Notamacropus eugenii: one gene and its partner. The protein of the gene in region 2 purifies or fractionates together with the protein of the main gene of each other region. This does not show direct contact. Links are inferred from orthologs where the notes say so. Each region holds a gene or a part of one and is shown on either strand. Other genes may lie near its edges.

What was found.
Region 1: the proteins of KLC2 (region 2) and KIF5A purify together in Homo sapiens (affinity purification with western blotting; 3 studies listed by BioGRID and IntAct, with this or other methods). This does not show direct contact. The link is inferred for Notamacropus eugenii from reciprocal best matches to the Homo sapiens genes KLC2 and KIF5A.

What each region holds. Positions count from the first base shown.
Region 1 is NC_092874.1:232,927,241-232,936,850, reverse strand, and holds the start of KIF5A (kinesin heavy chain), read right to left. Parts: upstream 4,174-9,610; 5' UTR 3,888-4,173; coding exon 3,759-3,887; intron 1-3,758. Other genes in the region: DCTN2 (dynactin subunit 2), read left to right, coding at 8,876-8,911. UniProt on the Homo sapiens protein: Microtubule-dependent motor required for slow axonal transport of neurofilament proteins (NFH, NFM and NFL). Can induce formation of neurite-like membrane protrusions in non-neuronal cells in a ZFYVE27-dependent manner.
Region 2 is NC_092873.1:18,868,809-18,878,225, forward strand, and holds the start of KLC2 (kinesin light chain 2), read left to right. Parts: upstream 1-5,541; 5' UTR 5,542-5,670; coding exon 5,671-6,141; intron 6,142-6,239; coding exon 6,240-6,470; intron 6,471-6,658; coding exon 6,659-6,728; intron 6,729-6,977; coding exon 6,978-7,200; intron 7,201-7,781; coding exon 7,782-7,869; intron 7,870-7,970; coding exon 7,971-8,072; intron 8,073-8,171; coding exon 8,172-8,345; intron 8,346-8,453; coding exon 8,454-8,553; intron 8,554-8,660; coding exon 8,661-8,710; intron 8,711-8,796; coding exon 8,797-8,864; intron 8,865-8,951; coding exon 8,952-9,060; intron 9,061-9,148; coding exon 9,149-9,304; intron 9,305-9,409; coding exon 9,410-9,417. UniProt on the Homo sapiens protein: Kinesin is a microtubule-associated force-producing protein that plays a role in organelle transport. The light chain functions in coupling of cargo to the heavy chain or in the modulation of its ATPase activity.

The DNA of each region.
Region 1 (9,610 bases), on a different chromosome or scaffold from region 2:
TCATTTCAACATCCTAGAAATCCCAACCTAGGGAGTCCATAGCCTGACTACTCCAAGCTAAATCTTTCTTTCTCTATGCCTAGTCTCCTTATTCCCTTCCTAATCCCTATATCTCTCCCAGCTCCTTTCCACCATTCTCTATGGAATCTCCATGTTATAGCAGATACATAAGTAAGTTAGCCCCTTTCAGGCATCTTAGTCTAAGACACCTAGTAATGTCTGAACTGAGAACACCAAGCCTTGTTTCCATGGTGATCCTCTTAGGGATTGTCACCATAGCAATGCTAGAGATATGGAGTGCTCAGTTCCTTGTCCTTTCTCTGATTGGATGTTGGTCCTCTGACTGCCCAAAACTGAATAGGATACTAGAACCCACCCTACTAATGCTAAAGTAATTCAGGTTGGCCCTCAAGCTATTTTCTACCATTATTTCCATCTCTAGTAAACCTGAAAACAAGTCTCAAAAATCAAGTCCCAAGTCAAATTTTTCAGAGATGTTCCTTTTCCCTTCTAACTCAATCTTAAATACCCCACAGACTCTTAGAAAGGGGAGTAGATAGTTTCTAGGGCTATTAAAGAAGCAGTTACTAGGCATCAGAGTAAAGGAACATATGTGTGGAAGGTGGTTAGAATGTGGGACTAATTATCATTCCTCCTGTGTTTGCTCCACCTCTATTCTGGTAGAGATGCATCCTAGACAGCCTGGCGCCCCAGACACCAGGTCTTTCTCCATCAGAGCTGTAAGAGGGATCCATGTACGCAGAGAAACAATGAATGACACAGAGTGAGTGCACACCACACAGTAACTCCGACACCATTTTAAAATCAAACAAGCTGTGAATATTGTCTATGACCCTTCCCTCAGATCCATGGGAAGAGTTATGGGGGGCACAGAGAGAGTTTACAATATTGTCCCCTAATCCCTAATCCAAAGCTTAGTCATTTAAAAAGGTTGCTTTTTTTTTTTTTAACAAAAGGTCTACAGAGACCAAGTAATGCTGGTTACAAAGAGAGAAGGTTGCAAGGAGTTAGGGCCAAGGGAGTTTATCCTTCTCTTTTCCCTACAAACATACCTTCTATGATCTTCCCTTACATTTCAGCAGATCTTAAAACATCCCCTAATTCATTCCTCTCAACCTTTTCCTTTTTTACATATTTTTTCAATATTCATTATTTTATAAGATCCAAAATTTTCTTTCTCCTTCCCTCCCTCCCTCTCCCCTCCCCAAGAAGGCAAGCAGTCTGATATAGGCTATGCATGTGCAATCATGGTAAACATATTTCCACATTAGTTTTTCAGCCTTTTCCAAAATAAGGATAGAGGGACAGAGATTCCCTCTTCCCTACTGGCAAAGCCAGGACTGTCCCTCAAAATACCTAATCGCCCCATAAATGCTTCTTTGCTCAGGTCTCATGTCCTCAGTGCAAGGACATATGGATGTAAAATAGGGAGACAGAACTACCAAGGTTTCTGAGACAAAATGACCCCTCTGTCTAAGCCTGTAGAATGAGAGAAACAAGGAGACAGATGGGAAAATTTGAAGCCCCCCAAAAGAGGGAAAAGACAGAGGTGGTCTCAGTAAAGTGTCTCTTCTTTCCCTCTTTGAATATATATCATCTATTGTCTTAACTGGGGAAAGCTGGGAGACACAACCCATTCCTTACCTTTTAATTAAATAGAATCATAGCACTGAAGTATTATGAAAGAAAGAGAGAAGTTTAGTTCAACATTATCTGAAAAATCCATCTGCAACAACTAAACTCAGGGGTAGAGTGGTTAAAGTCTATAAAGTCTACCTAATGTGCTCGTTGTCACTAACCACCCATATTCCCACAGCCTTCTTTTCCCTTATGTCTTCTGGCCCATAGTTAATCACTGTTTCATTGAATCCTAAGATCTGGAATTTGAGCAGAGCCTAAAGGTCACAGGAGGGAAGCCAGGAGGTGGTCTAACTTAAATCCTATTGTACAGGAATGTATCAAGAAGTGGTCATTCAGTCTCCTCTTGAAGATCACCTTGTTCAACAACACTGCACCGCCCCCCCCCCCCCCCATTTAGAGAAAAGGAAATTGAAGTCTGTTAAATTTGAGTCATACAGGTAATAAGTGGCAGATTTGGGATTTGAACACAGTTCCTTAGATTCCAAATCTAGTGTTCTTCCTGCTATACCATTGGCTGCTGAAAGAGAGAAAAGCATCTCCAGATGCTAAGCAGGGATTTAAATTTATTTATTTATTTATTTAAGATGGGTTCAGTCAAGATGGGAGGAAGGGGAGGAGAGGGTGGGAAATGAGGAGAGAAAAGCAGACCTTATCTTCATGGCACCAAATAAACACATTAAAATGACAAGCAAATAGCATCCATCTTTTTGAGTCAACAGTTAGGACTCCAGTTGGGGGAAGGACAGAGTGGAATTGGTTGTCCTTGAGGACTGAGGCAGGGAAGAATGGGTCTCAGTCTCTGTCTCTGTCTGTCTGTCTCTCTCAATTCCTCTTTCATCTAAAACTCCATTCCCTCTGTCTTTAGTACATCCTGACAATCGTTGCTGTACCCCTCCCCCAAGTATATCTGTACTCTTAATATTTCCCTCTTCTAAACCCCCACTTCAGACTTTTCAGCTCTCAGGCTCTACTACCCTTACATTCTTCTCCAATTTCAGGGGTTACCTGGATCCCATAACCACACAGCCCTTATTATTCCAGTTGTGACAGACATGAATTATGAAGATTTGGGAAGTCTTTAGGATACTACCAGACTTGGACTGGAGCCTGGGCCTAGGAATCAAACCTAGGCCATGATGCAGGGGAATGACGTGCACTCTTGATCTCCTCCTCCATGGGTGGGGACTGTTGTGATGAAACTGGTTACTATGAAAAGATGTGGTTAGATAGGGATACTGAACATGTTGGCTATTTTTTGAGGAGATGAAGGGACCTGCACCTTAAATATGCCTTATCCTGCATCCTTTTCCCTACTAAGTTCTGTCCTAAGGGGTTGCAAATAGTTTAATTTTTTTATTTTTACCTCAGAGGCTTTTTTTCCCTCCATCAACCCAAATTGGTGTGGGAGGGTACACAGCAGTGACCTTCAGAACCGTGATTGGGACAAGTTAAAGCGATAGTAGTGGGGCTGAGAGATGGAAATAGCCCTCCAGTCTATAAATCCCCAGAGCCGAAGAATGGTATCCTCTGGCCCCACACCTTAGGCCTCCCTGGGGTGAGCAGACTAAGCATAACAAAAGACACCCAGGATCCTCTTCCTAGCAGATCTAGTCTCAACTGGGGTGTGGTTGGGATACAAAGGTGAAAACTGGGAGTACGGATGAGATTAGGAATAGAATCTTGACCTCTGAATTAGAAAATGGGAGAATAAATGTATAACTGGTTAGCACACTGCAAGGGGGGGCGGGATTCGAAATCATTGATTGGATTAGGGTGTAGGTTAAAAGGGAGATATTAAATACACCTGCTTCATCTCGGCAGAGAACCAAGAGTTCAGATTCTAGCCCAGGCCACACCCATTTAAGGCCTGAGCTAAGGATTGAGTGGGGAGGGAGGGGCTGCGGAAGTGGGGGGAATGGAGAAAGAAGGGGAGGAATGGAGGGATGATGGAGGGAGAAGGAGAACAGAGAGTGAAGGGAAATGGAGAGAGGAGTTGGATGAGTGGAGGAACAAAACAAGCATTAACTCTGGCATCTGGGACATATCCTATAGGGATGCCCATCCCTGCACCCCATCATCCTCTGGTGGGCACTCACCCCAATAATGACGCTGTCGTCCCCTTGAAAAAGGGGGATAAATTTGTCACCCCGCAGAATCTCCGACTGGTTCAGGGGTCTGAATCGACAGAGCACCTTGATGCTGCACTCATTGTTGGTTTCCGTCATGGTGATGACCGGTGGTGGTAGCGGTGGTGGTGGTGTGGGGGCGCTTTGGAGAAAGGCTGGGGGAGCTCAGCAGAGACGAGAGGAACAGAAGTGACTCAATCTCCTGCACTGATGCTATATGGAGAAGGAAAAGGAAGGCTGATGAAGGGAGAGGAGCTGGGGAAGCTCTCTCTGATGGTTCAGGAGATTTTCAGAGAAAACCCCCTCAGCTTCGCCTCTGGTTCTCTCTTTCCTCTCTGCCTCAGCCCCTCCCGCTGCAGCTCTACTCTGCGGGGTTGCTGGAGTTGGGGGGGGGGGGGATTCTGGGAGAGAGCAGGAGGCGGGGCTTCTCTTAAGGTGGAAGGGGTTGGGCTGTTGATGGGAAAGGATCCGGCCCCCCCTTTCTTAATTTGCTAGATAAACTATTCATCCCTTCCTGACTGTTCCCACCAGAGGGAACCGGGGCTTTCCCCCCAAATACCCCCATTTCCCATATAATTACTGAATCCTGGATACCCTTGTCCCCTCGGATAACCAGTTTGATAATGTTGACTAAGAACTGGCTGCAGAAGAACAACATCCCCGCCCCCCACCCCAGCTCCACCCTCTAGGAGTGGAGGAGGGAAGCAGAGAAATAAAGCTCCCCATCCCAATGGAGGAAGGCGTAATGATCAAGATTCAGGACCTCTTCCTTCCCGGACAGCTGCCCCTCCTCCCCAGTATAAACTGGTGGAGGGTAGTGAGGGCCCTTCCTAACTGAGTAGTCCTTGAAAGAGACCAAACAGCCCTTCCCCTAGCAGGTGCATTCCAAGACCCCATGGTGGATGGGGGTCGGGGCAGGGAAAGCATGAGCTGTCGGGATGTTCTTCTTTCCACTACCATAGACGTTTCTCTGGAAGGGCAAAGTTCGTGGATAGACATTGGGGGGCGAGGGGAGTTCAGAGGAGAAAAAACATTCTAAGGTCCTGCGCACTTGTGTGTGTGTGTGTGTGTGTGTGTGTGTGTGTGTGTGTGTGTGTGCTTGTAAATAAAGTCCTGAGGAAAGGATTGTTCAGGTTCTGATTCTTCCTCCTTAAGAGAGAGAGTTACTGAAGTCAAAAGACTTGAGTTTCAAACCCAGTTGAGCCACTTAGCGCCAGAACTAGAGCGATTGGGGTTTTGTTCAAGGGCATAAACATGGTGGTCGAGGATCTTGCTTCCTCTCCACAGCAACCGCAGTTCCCGTGCAACCAGCATCCTCTTGCAAATGCAACTGCCATCCTCTGGCAACCACAATCCTCCGGTCTTAGCCTCCTGGTCCTTGACCCAGCAGAGTCATTACACTGGTGAAACAGTCCCCAGGCCTGTCCAGTCCCTATGGACCACCTGACTAACCCAACTTCCTCAGAATGAGGGCTGAACTCTCTAGGGGTACTGCTCTCCCCATCTCCTTGAGAAAACACAGGCTGTCCACTCCAGCTACCCTCTTCCATCCCCAGCTGAATTTGCCCCAGCTACAAAAATACCTAGCTATGACTCTGAGTGTGTGACCTTGGGCAAATCATTACTCCTTGTCTGAGCCTCCCTTTCCTCCTTTGTAAAATGAAGGCACTGAAGCAGATCTTTCTGAATGTCCACTATGCTGTCTGATTCTCTGGTGTTCTCATATCTGCTGGCTGGGCTGGGGGAGGCACTGAAATGCAAATGGCAGGCAGAGGAGTAGGAAAGCTGGGGGAGACAAGAGCCTTATGCAGTGATCATTTGTAGAATGGCCTGTATATGTGTTGTTCAGTGTCCTGAATTTCCCTGCGCAGTCATCTCTTCCCTTTCTGAGACCCTGAACAGTCATCATCCCTCAAATCCCTTCCCCCAGGTCTGACTCTTGCTGCAGCCCCTGAGCAGATCTATAAAGAGGCAAGTCAGATTGATTTTTCTAGACGTCATTAGCCTTGGCAGGCAGGAGAGGCAGTTGGGAAGCAAAGTCAGACTGCAGGAGCTGGAAAGGGCTCTCTGGACACTCTGAAATTCTCTAGGGGGAGAGGAGTGGTTGAACCTCTCAGTGTATGATGAGCTTGTGCATCAAGGTGAGTAGGGGTACTCGAGTTGAACACAACTAAGAATTTTTTCAGGTTGAGCATCCTCACCACCCCACCCAATCTAGGGCTAGAAGACTCAACGACAAGGGGCAAAGGATAAGGGGACAAAGCGATGAAAAAGAAATGAGAGCCACATAGGAAGATGAATTGTAATGAACAACTCACAATTATACTTGCTTTACTCATCATAATCCTGTGAGGTAGGTGACATGAGCATTACTGTCCTCATTATATTGAAGAAAGTAAAGTAACTTACCCACTGGTCACCCAACTAGTAAGTGTACCTGGGAATCACACCCATATCTTTTGACTCTGAGTCAATTTTCTTTCTACTATGTCATACATTTCCATTCATGCAGTCAGTAATTGTGTCACATTTCTTAAGGTTTCAGCATGATAAAATGACAAGCATCCAGCCTTGCTTATCTGTTAAATGAGGACTAATAATGCATGAATTACCTATATGAATTATCAATCAATAAACATTTATTAATCACACGCTATGTGCAAAAAAGCACTGTGCTAAACCTGAGGATACAAAAAGTCAAAAGACAGTCCTTGCCTTCAAGAAGCTTAAAATCTAATGGTGAAGAAAATACACAAATAAATACAAAGCAAGCTATATATAGGATAAGTAGGAAGTAATGCACCAAGGGAAGCTGCTGGAATGAAGATCAGTTAAAGAAGGTTTCATGTAGACCATAGAATTGGTGTGAGGAAACCACCTGGATCCCAGGTGATCTACCATCATGTTATTTGCTGCCCATAGAATACAACGGAAAGGGTGCTGGGTATGGAGCCAGAGGACTGACCAGTTCAAATCTCAGCTCTACCTCTTTTTAAATATTTTATTTTTTTAATTAATTATTTTTTCAATTAAGCATGCATTTTATTCTCCCTGCCATTTCTCCCTTTACTAGGAAGAGAGGGGGGAAATCAGGGAACTTTTAATAGTAACTATTGCATAGTCAAGCAGAACAAATTCCCATATTGGCCATATCCAAAAATGTGTAACTCATTCTGCAATACTAAGTCACCTTTCTGTCAGGAGGTGGATGAGATCATTGCTCTGAAATCATGGTTGGTCATTGTGCTGATAAGAGTTCATAAGACTTTCATGGTTGTTTAAAGAAAAAGAAATGAAAATCCACCTTCTCTCCCTTCTATACCCACTTCCCAAATATAGATACAGTGAAAAAGAAAAACAAAATCCTTATAACACATATGTATAGTTCAGTGAAACAAATTCCAGCATCAGGTATGTCAAATACACACACACACATATATGTACACACATACATGCATGCACATATATGTCTCAATCTGCATTCTGCAACTATCATCTTTCTGTTAGGAGGCAGGTGGAATATTCCTCTGGAATCATGACTGGTCATTTCACTGATTAGAATTCTTCAGTCTTTCTGAGATTTTTGTCCTTAGAATATTGTTGCTGCATAAATTCTTCTTCTGGTTCTGCTCAATTTACTCTGCATCAGTTCATACACATCTTCCTAGATTTCTCTGGGCACCCCTTTCATCGTTTCTTTCAGCACAATAGTTTTGTCACATTCAAATCTCATAACTTGTCCAGTCATTTCCCAACTGACAAACATCTCCTTAGTTTTCAGTTCTTTGCCACCACAAACACACACACATACACACACACACACCCCACTACCTATGTGTGTCACTGGGAAATTCACTTAACCTAGCGGGTCAGTTTTCTCCTGTGTAATGGGAAGGGTTTGGAGTCTAAACTTCAGATAAAACCCTTATAACAAATATGTACAATCAAGTGAAACAAATTCCCACATTGGGTAGGTCTAAAAAAAAAAGTCTCAGTCTGCGCTCTGAGTCTTATCACCTCTTTTTGTCAGGAAGTTTGGTAGCATCTTTTACTAGCTCAGCAGTTTTAAATATGAAGGAGCTTTTTCTTTTTATAAGTGTATTTCATTATAATGGAATTCCTTTATAATCCTATGTATTTATTTTATTCATTTAAAAACATCATTCTGAGGAGAGCCCCATAGATTTCCTCTGATTTTAGTGCCTTCCCTCTCAGATTATTTTCTCCTCATGCTGTATATATCTTGTTTATACATAGTTGTTTGAAATTGTCACCCACATTGATTGTGAGCTACTGGAAAGCAAAGACTGTTTTTGCCTTTGTATCCCCAAGGCTGTGGGCACATGTTCTTGTTGTTCAGTAGTGTCTGACTCTTTTTGACTCCTTGGCAGAGATACTGGAGTGGTTTGCCATTTCCTTCCCCAGTTCATTTTACAGATGAGGAAACTGAGGCAAACAGGGTTAAATGACTTGCCCAGGGTCACACTGCAGTAAATGTTTGAGGAGGTATTTGAACTGAGGTCTTTCAGGCTCAATGATCTATTTACTGAGCCCGTGTGGGCACACAGTAGGCTCTAAATAAATGCGCTTGACTCTCGCACATTGCCAAAGAAGGAGGCTGTTTTTTGGTTAAAAACCTCTGGATTAAATGATCTCCACGGTCCCTTCTAGCTTTATATCCATGATCCTATAACAAGATACATTGTTTCAATATCTTCAAGGGAGGCTACACTCTGACTACCCTTCGGACTACACATCCCACAATCCTAGTTGGTTCTCTTCCCCCATTACCTCATCTCTCTGCCTCGTTTGCGCCTGCCTCTACCTCACGGTTGGTGGGGGGGCAGCGGCTAAGAACCCTCAATTCTCGCGAGGTCGGCTTCTCCCTCTCTTGGCTCTGCCGACTCCCGGCCGTCTTTTCGCGAGACTTCGTTCCCCTCTGCCGCCCCTGCCGCCGCATCCGACTAAGCCCTGGACCGGGCCCCCGACCGGCTTCTTCCGCGGGCAGAGCTCGAGCTTCGGCTCCGGCCCCGCCGAGGCCCCGGATCCCCCCTGCCCTGTCTTCCCTGCCCTCTTCTGCCAGTGTCATGGCGGACCCCAAATACGCCGACCTCCCCGGCATTGTGAGTAGAGGGCCCGGACAGCCCCCGCCCCGCGGCCCGGCACGGTCCCTTCCCGGCCGCGCTGCTTCGGCCGTCGCCGGGGACCCGCCCGCGGGCGCTGGCTCGAGCGCCCCGGCTCGCGCCTGGGCCCCGGTGGGCTGCCCCCTCCCGGTCCCCGGCGCCCCACCCCACCCCCGCCCCGGGGTGCGGCCGGCCAGGAGCGCCGGAGGTGGAGCCGGAGCCGAGTCCGAGTCCTTTCTGTCTCCCGGACGGCCTGTGCCGCCCGGGCGAGTCCTGCAGCCGCGGTGCCCCGGGCCTGCCCAAGGCCGCCTTCAGCTGCAGGCTGTGCTCCTGCCCCTCCCCGCACCCTCTCCGTGACAAGTGGTCCTTACCCTGGGGCCCAGGAGCTCTTTTTTTCTTTGTGTAGTTTGATAAGTGACTTTTTATATAATTGATTTCCTTTGTCATCCTAGGTGTTTATTTTGTGCATTTAAAACCAATCCGAGAGTGGATTCGTAGGTTTCACCAAAAAAGATGAAGAAACCCCGATCTCAAACCCTCTTAAACCTATCCCAGGGTTTGTCAGATCCTCCCTCCAGGCTTCTCTCTTCCTGTCTGTCTCCACCCACCCTCTGTGCATCGTAGCACCCTTGAGAGTATTCTGACCACCTAGCACCTGGCTTCCATCCCTGAGCTCCTTTCTCTCCACCTCCCTCTTTT
Region 2 (9,417 bases):
GTAAGATGGGGCAGCCAAGAAAGCTCATAGGGTGATCTTGGACTGTATTAAGAATTCCATGCTTCCAATGACGCAGGCCATGGTGATTGTCTCTCTGTGTTCCACCATCACCTGACCTCATCCAAAGTATGGAGGTCCATTCTTGAGATCACTCAAAACGGAAGGATATTAATAAGCTATCGAATATCCAGAGGAGGCCACCATGATGGGGAAAGCTTTGGAACTAGGAATGTTTAGCCTGGAGAAGAGAACACTTAAGGGAGATATGGTGGCTGTGGAGTATTTGAAGAGGTGTTATATGGTGGAGTAATTCGACTTGTTCTAATTTGTTCTGCCCAGAGAGCAGAACCAGGAATTGTGAGGGGACGTTGCAAAAATACAACTCTAGACTTGATATCAGGAAAAACCTCCTCCCAATGGAAGCTGTGCAGTGGAATGGGCCATCTTGAGAGGGTCTCCAGGCAGAGGGTGAGACCACTGGTCAGGCTTCTTTTCATGCCTGTTGAACTAGATAGAGGCTACTGAGGTGCCTTTCATCTCCCTAAATCTGTGATTCTCTGATTTAAATTAGTCAGCACAATGAGGGGCCTGGAAACCACCTCCCAAGCAAGTGCTTGTCATGAGGTGAACACTTCACAAATGGTCATCGACTGCTTTACTTGACCTGCTTGCACAACAGTGAGGACTGACCTCCAAGGACATCTAAGCACAGGTGTAGAATATGAAGGAGAAGGGTGGAAGATGATGAACAGTACCACCTCAGAGAGCAAGAGTGAACACATGAGTCCTCACTGATAGGAGCCTTGCTCAAGCCAAGAACACCTACTGGCTGTCAGTGATAGAGCTGGATAATGAGGGAAAGACCACTGCACTTGAGATCATGAAACACCTGGGTTTGAATCCCAGCTCAGATGCTCAACTGGCTGTGTGACCCTGCCCAAGTCACTTAACCCAAGCCTTCTTTCTCTCATCTGTCCTCACTTCTAACCTAGCACTGCTCTCCACTCCGGAGACTTCTATGCCTCCCCCCATCTCCTCATCTGCCTCCCCAAGCAGGGAGATGCCTCTGCCCTGGCAGCCTCCTTGGATCAGTGAGTCGCTGCCCTGAACCTACATTTAATGGAGTGCCCAAACCAGCCATGGTTCCTTCTAACCAGGTCAACTCTGTTGTTCATTGAACATCTACACCTTGCCCCTTGTGGGAGTTCCTCCTTCTCCTCCCACTTCTTAAATTTTTTTTTAAAGCAATCAGGGTTAAGTGATTTGCCAAGGGTCACACAGCTAGTGAAACTGCAAATCTATTATTTACAATTTGCTACCCCTTTTTAAATATATAATAAAGTTATCAAGTAAATTCTTTGTTCCCCCTCCTCCTCTTCCCAGAAATGGTTACCATTAGACACTGGTAATCATTTAATATCATTTGAACCTCAATAAGGACCAGAGTCTAAACTAATCAACCAGAAGAAGCCCCGCAACCTGACAGATATTCTCCTTCTTACATTTCCTGTGGCAACAAGGCCAGAGAGAGCTAAGAGCATTTTCCTCTGTTTATGGCCACTAAGACCTTAACCCGAGACACTACCTGGAATAAAAGGACTTTTCTTATCTTAATATTTTATGGACATATACTATAACTATGTCAGGTTAATGATAAAGAAAACAGATATCCTGGGTCATAATTTCAATTGACACTGTCAACTTTCTTATCTTACTGTATTTATTACCTATTCAGTTATGAAAATTCCTTTTTCATACTATGGTTAAACATATTTGGAGATCATAAATTTAAGTGACGTAGACATCCTGAGTCGGAATTGTTCTAAAATGTATTTAAGTCTTCTCATTCTTTTTATCAGACAGATTTTATCTGGCTCTGTGCATGCATGTATTCTGCTAGCTTTAAGGGAATAAAATAACGTGAATTTATAAATCCCCTAGCCTGTTTGCCTCTTTTAACAAAACTTTCAGGTTGACAACACAAATATATATGTATATATGTGTATGTAAAATTTATAGATATATAACATGTTATATATATGTAAAATTATATATTATATATGTAAAATTATATGTTATATTATACATATTATGTATATGTAAAATTACTACATACTTGTATTTATCAGTTCTTTCTCTGGATGCAGATAGCATCTCCCTTCACGTGTCCTCTGTAGCTAATTTGGGTACTCATAATGGTGGAATACAATGATAAAAATGAAACAGTCCCTGGCCTCAAGAAGTTTACATTCTCTCAAGGGAGACCTCCATATGTAAATATATATGAAATGCATCCAAAATACAAACAAAGTAGTTTTGGAGGAGGGGAGAGCCAGCAGCTAGGGGTGTCAAGAAAGGATTCAAGAGGAAAATGGCACTTGTGTTGAGTCTTGAAAGTAAGGGATTCTCAGAAGCAGAGGTGAGGAGAAAGGGCATTCCAGGCATGGGGACCAGCCAGTGTAAAAGCCTAGAAACAGGAGATGGAGGATAGCATCCAGTTTGGCTGCTGGTAGTATAGGAGGGAGAGCAATATCCAGGATGACATGGGCTAGGGTCAGACTGTGAAGGACTTAAAAAGAAAAACAGAGGTTTTTCTATTTTATCTTAGATCAACAGGAAACTACTCCTAGTGTAGAGCGTGGAGGAGTCACATGAGCAGATCTCTGCAGAAGGAATATCCCTTGGGCAGCTTTGTGGAAGACACATTTGGGTGGGGGGAGACTAGAGGCCATTGTCATAGTTGTGGAGAAGAGATATGGGCCTAAGCTAAAATGGGGGCTTGTGGATACCAAGAAACAGTCAGTAATGAGGGATTGCATGGTGAGAGAAACAAGATTTGGGTTCAAACCCAGGAGAATAGAACTGAGACAATGCCCTCAACAGAAATTTGTGTTGCTGTTCAATGATTCAGGTGAGTCCCTTCTTGACCCTATGGCCCATAGCATGGCACAAATTGGAAAGTGACAAATCAGGGTAAGTTTGAAGGAAAAGATGAGTTCTCTTTTGGATATTCTGAATTTGAGTTACAAGGACATCCACTTGGAAATGCCCAAAAGGCAGTTGGTGATGCAGCATTGAGACTCAGGGCACTGTGACTTGGACATATAGATTTGGGCATCGCCTGTATAAAGACAATAATTAAACCGTGGGAGCTGATGAGGACCAAGAAGAGGACTAAGGGATAGAGGAGCAGCTACGAGTCAGGAATACTAGCTGTGTGACCCTGGGTAAATCATTTCATCCTGCATGCCTCAGTTTACTCATCTGTAAAATAAGCTGGAGAAGGAAATGGCAAACCACTGCAGCATCTTTGCCAAAAACCAAATCTATAGAGGGTCACAGAGAGTTGGACACAACTAAATCACAAATCCCTCTATTTCCTCCCAACTTCCAACGTCCTGCTCTAACGCCTCATCTTGGAGTGCTTCTATAAGTCTATGGCATTCTGTTGTGTTCCAAAGGCTTCAAGACCAATCCCAGTATTTACCACTTTTTTGGCTTTCTGAGGATCGGCCCAAGCGCAAGGCAGGGAGGGGGTCATCACCACCAGATTGCGTCCTTGATGAGTTCTTTGACTGTGACTAAAACCCGGGCAACCAGGAAAGGCACAAAAGAGCCTTGGGTCCTGTAAGCCAGCACTTGAAAAGTGATGGTGCAGGGAAGAGAAAGGGCGGCGGAAGGGGCTGGGGATCCCAGTTCTTGGGCAATCTGGAAGTCTTAGCTCAGTCATCAGTCCTTCAAATGTAAGCCATTTAAGGTGAGTCCCAGAAGATGGCTAGGTATGGATGGAGTGTGGCCTTCAAGACTTTTTGATTCGATTACCCAATGTATACAGTTAAAAACTGTAAAAATGTCAGGTATCACCATCTTGTTACATTCTGGTTTGTGCGCATGTAAGTCTTCTGCCCCCAGGATTACAAAGTATCTTATCCCCTGGGGAAAGGTTGCAGAATGACAGACAGAGAGCCTTTATTCCCTTTTTTCCGTGAAGGGACATGTACAAATATACCCCGGTGCCCGCTGTCTCTCCGAACAGCTCGGTGCTTCCATAGTGCGTGTGGATTGATTGGAGCTGAAACAACAGAACCTAGAACCGCAACTGGAGGAAAAGAAGTCTTCAAGACGCGGATGAGTGAAAGAGATGCAGCAGAACGGGGCAGAGGCCGGGCCGGGCCGGGCGGCGCCCGAATTCCACTAAGGGGGAGGCGGGGGACTGGGAACTTGGGCTTCCGAACCGACTCCGCGATGCCCGGTCCGTGTGAGTGCGGGATCTGGCACTGAGCCCCGCCAGGCGCAGGCAAGCTCCCGCCCAGGACGCCTAGAGCAGCCCTGATCCGCGGGGAGCCCGGCGGACTGAGCCGGTGGAGCGGGGCCCCGCCGTGACGCGGCAAAGCCGCGGGTCCCAGGAGGAAGGACCGAAGCAGCCCCGGGGACGTTGGCCGGTTTATGGCGGACCAAGGCGGGGAGAAGTGGTAGGGCAAGTGTGTCGTGACTCTGCCTCCGCCCCGGGATCGGCCGCGGCGCCCGCAGAGAGACCTGAGAAACGCCACGTCTGGAGGCAAGAGAACACCTGCAGGTGCAACCTCACCCCAGGAGAGTTCGGGCCTGCTGGTCAACCAGGGGGAGTAACGGTCGGGGAGCGCGTGCGTTCGGTTGTGGGACCAGACGACGAGAGGCTGAGCAAGGTGGGGATGGAGGGACGAGAGGAGGGAGGAAACGGAGGGGATGGAGGGGATGGAGGGGATGGAGGGGTGGGGGGATGGAGAGGATGGAGGGGTGGGGGGATGGAGGGGTGGGGGGTAGGGAGGAAACTGACGGGATGGAGGAGATGGAGGGAAGAGGGGTGGGGGGATGGGGGATGGGGGATGGAGGGGTGGAGAAGGAAGGAGGGCTGGGGAGTTTGGGAGTGTAAATGGGGAACACCTCGGAGCAACCCCGCTCTTGTTTCTCAGCAAATCCCATCCTTCCGCCTGGGGCCAGGGGTGCCCCTTCCCACCCCTCCCCTCCCCCCCCACCCTTCCCTTCCCCTCCCCCGCTCTCCTCTTCCCCTCCCCCGCTGGTCTTCCCCTTTAAGGCGGCGGGGGAGGGGGCAGCACCCTCCCCTTCCCTTTAAGGCCCGCGGCGGCGGCGATCGCGCAGGCGCGTGGGTGGGCGCGGGGGCTGCCGGGAGAGGCGGCGATGGAGGCTGCGCGGGCCGTGCGGGGCAGCTGAGGCCGAGGAGGCCGGGCCGGGGCCGGGCCAGAGCTGGGGTTGGGGCCGGGGTGCGCAGGTGAGCGGGGGCAGGGCGGGGCGTCGTTCCGGAGAGAGGACGGGGGACCGGGAGCTCCTCCCGCCTGTGCCTCGGGCGCCCCCTGCGGGGCGGGGGGCTCCCCGCTCTGGCCCGGGGCACCCCTCGGGGAACCGGCAGGGACCGGTCCGGGGCATCTCCGGGGGAGGCGGAGCTCCCCTCTATTACGGGGTGCCCCGGGGGAAGGTCTACACTAGGAATAACTCCACACCTGCTACAAGTTGTCTGCCGTCTAGAGGGAAGGGGTGGGAGTGGAGATCACTCACAAGAAGGGCCTTCATCCCTAGGGGATGGACCAGGCAGGTCGGTGTGGTCCCTAGGGCCCAACTGGACCGGGGATAGGCCCCCATACAGCCCCAACCATCGGGGGGCTCCTCCCCCCCATGCTCCCTCCTCAGGGTCCCGGGGTGGGGGCTAAGAGGCCGAGTCCCCACCGCATTGCGTCTGGGAGGGAGAGCGGCCGCTGGAGACGCCCCCTGGAGGCCGCTGCAGGAAGTCCGGCCGAGCCACAGGCAGGACCCCCCTCCCGGCTGGGAGCCCCCCAGGCTGTCAGAGCCCCAGAGTTCTCGTCCTCCCCCTGCAGGGGCCTCCTCCCAAACCCGAACCCTCCGACCATGTCCACCCTGGTGATGTCTCGGGAGGAGAAGCCGAGCCAGGATGAGATCGTGCTGGGCACCAAGGCGGTCATCCAGGGGCTGGAGACCCTGAGGGGCGAGCACCGCGCCCTGCTGGCCTCCCTGCTGGAGAATGTGGCCGGGCGGGAGGCCGGCGAAGCCGAGCCCGGAGCCCAGGAGCGCTCGGGACTCCTGCGCCGATCTCTGGAGGCCATCGAGCTGGGACTCGGAGAGGCTCAGGTACCCGGGGGCCTGGGTCTGGGGGAGGCGGGGCCAGGAGTCCAGTGCCCCTCCCCCGGGCCCCCCTTCAGCCTTCTCTCCTGGCCGAGGGGCCGTAGGTGATTCTGGCACTGTCGGGCCACCTTGGGGCCGTGGAGTCAGAGAAGCAGAAGCTCCGGGCTCAGGTGCGCCGCTTGGTGCAGGAGAACCAGTGGCTCCGGGAGGAGCTGGCCGGGACCCAGCAGAAGCTGCAGCGCAGCGAGCAGGCCGTGGTCCAGCTGGAGGAGGAGAAGCAGCACCTGCTGTTCATGAGCCAGATCCGGAAGCTGGACGACGACCCTTCTGCCAACGTGAGCCCGGACCCTCCTCCGGCTGAGTGGGCTCCCTTTTCCTGGCACCCCTCTCCCGCCCCACACATAACCTACTCAGGGGCTCCCGCCCACAGGGCCGACTCTGGATCCCCTCCCTTCAGACCCTCCTCCACTGCTTTTCTCCCTTGTGTGATTTTTTTCTTTCGGGTTGCTGATTCATCCCTCAGGAGGAGAAGGGGGATGCTTCCAAGGATTCTCTGGATGACCTGTTCCCTAATGAGGATGAACAGAACCCAGGTAGGGAGATGGGGAGAAGTGGATCTCTTAACTTTGGGCCCTGTGACTGGTCAGGAGGTCTCAGTCCATGAGGGTGACCACATATATGCTTCTCAGAAGCAAGGGGGAGGAGTGTGTGACTGCATTGCCTGAGGACCCAGAAGTATGCAGATAAGGGGGAACCTCCCAAGACTCCCAAGTATGTGCTGCTGACTCTGTCCCAACCCCAGAAGGCCCTGGGGCCACCTCTGAACTCCTGCCTTCCTCCAGCTCAGGGCTCTGGGGCCGGAGATGCAAGCACCCAGCACGGAGGCTATGAGATTCCAGCCCGGCTTCGGACCTTGCACAATCTGGTGATTCAGTATGCCTCCCAGGGGCGCTATGAGGTCGCTGTCCCCCTCTGTAAGCAGGCCCTGGAGGATCTGGAGAAGACCTCAGGGCATGACCACCCCGATGTGGCCACCATGCTGAACATCTTGGCTCTTGTATACCGGTAAGGGGACGTCTGGACCTTGGGGAAGGGGCAGCTAGGTGGTGAGGGGAATAGTGTACCGGACCTGGAGTCAGGAAAACTCCATGAGTTCAAATCTAGCCTCAGCCATGTGGCTCTGGGCAAGTCACTTCACCCTGTTTGCCTCAGTTTCCTCACCTGTAAAATGAGCCGGAGAAAGAAATGGCAAACCACTCCAGTGTCTCTGCCCAAAAAAAACTCAAGTAGGGGCATGAAGGGTCAGGCAAGACTGGAAAATGACTAAATGAGAGGCAGCCTTGGATTCTGTACAAAGTAGGCTCTCCATAGGATTGACCCTACCCCAGGTGAAGAAAGGAGGGGCCGGTGTAGGTGTATGAACCTAGAAAACCCACACTGGTGCCTGAAAGCCCCTCATTGGCTCATCACTCCTCTGAGGTCAGCCTTCCTCCCCTCGAAGCCCCTCACAGAAGCTGAAAATCTCCCTGTGGCCCAGCAGGCAGAGTCCTGGCTCAAACTGGCAGCAGCCTCATTTTATAGATGGGGAGCAGGAAGTTGACCAGCAGTCCTTCCCCTGCCCCTCCCCCACCTCCTTGTCTTCTCAGTGATCAAAATAAATACAAAGAAGCTGCCCACCTGCTCAATGACGCTCTAGCCATCAGAGAGAAGACCTTGGGCAAGGACCATCCAGCTGTGAGTGAGGCCCGGCTCCCTGGGCTGGGGGTGTGGGGCGAAGAGGACCCTTGGCTGGCCAGGCCTCTGCAGCCGTTTTCCTCTCTTTGCCCTGGACCCAGGTGGCAGCTACCTTGAACAACCTGGCGGTTCTGTATGGCAAAAGGGGCAAGTACAGAGAAGCAGAGCCCTTGTGCAAACGAGCCCTGGAGATTCGAGAGAAGGTAGAACCCATCTGGGGGCCCCTGTCTCCCTGGGCCTGGGGGAGGAGCTGGGGGGGGTGCGTCAGGGCACAAGTGAAAGGAGCCTCCACCTTCTCCTAGGTGCTGGGCAAGTTCCACCCGGATGTGGCCAAGCAGCTGAACAACCTGGCCCTCCTCTGTCAGAACCAGGGCAAGGCCGAGGAGGTGGAGTACTACTACCGGCGTGCTCTGGAGATCTATGAGGCTCGGCTGGGTCCTGATGACCCCAACGTGGCCAAGACCAAGAATAACTTGGTGCCTGATCCAAGGGAGGCACTGGGGAGGGACAGCCAGGGCGCACTGTGGGCCCAGCATGGTAGGGCGGCTGGGGCCTCACTGTCTCCCTGTCTCCCCCTTCCTCAGGCCTCTTGCTATCTGAAGCAGGGGAAATACCAAGATGCAGAAACCCTGTATAAAGAGATCCTGACTCGTGCCCATGAGAAGGAATTTGGCTCAGTCAATGGCAAGTGTCCCCCCAGCCCATCCTGCCCTTTGGAAGGGGATGAACCTTTTAACCTGGTCTTGGGGCTCCAGGGCCTTGTGACAGCCCCTCCTTTCTGTCTTCCCCAGGAGACAACAAACCTATCTGGATGCACGCTGAAGAGAGGGAGGAAAGCAAGGTATGGGGAAGGAGAAACTCAGAGCTCAACTCCCCTTGGGGCTTGGCCCTTTCCTTCCCCAAGGTTTCACTTTTCCTCCCCTTCAGGAGAAGCATCAAGACGCCACCCCCTATGGAGAATATGGCAGCTGGTACAAGGCATGTAAAGTGGACAGGTGAGAGGAAAAACTGAACCCTGGGGGGTCTCGGGGGCTGGGGAGCAGAAACCGTGAGAACCCCTGGCTCATGCCCATTTTCTCCAGCCCCACGGTGAACACCACACTTCGGAGCCTCGGTGCTCTCTACCGCCGGCAAGGGAAGATGGAGGCAGCTCACACCCTGGAGGACTGTGCCACTCGCAGTAGGAAGCAGGTTGGCACAGGGCCTGGGAGGTCAGGGTAGGAGGCATCAGGGGCTTCTCAGCTTCACCCCCACCTCACCACTCTCCTCCTATAACCAGGGCCTGGACGCCATGAGCCAGACCAAGGTGGTAGAGCTGCTGAAAGATGGTGGTGGGCGAGGAGACCGCCGGAGCAGCCGAGAGGTTATTGGTGGCACAGGATCTCGAGCTGAGCCGGAGCCGGAAGATTTGGGGCCCACGGTCGAGTGGTCTGGGGTGAGGGGGCCATTGGGGATCATTGGGGGAGGTTAGGGTTAGGGTTTGGGAGGGGCAGGGACAGGAGAGCAGGCAAGCACAGCGTAGTGGTTCCTCTGCCCCCAGGATGGCAA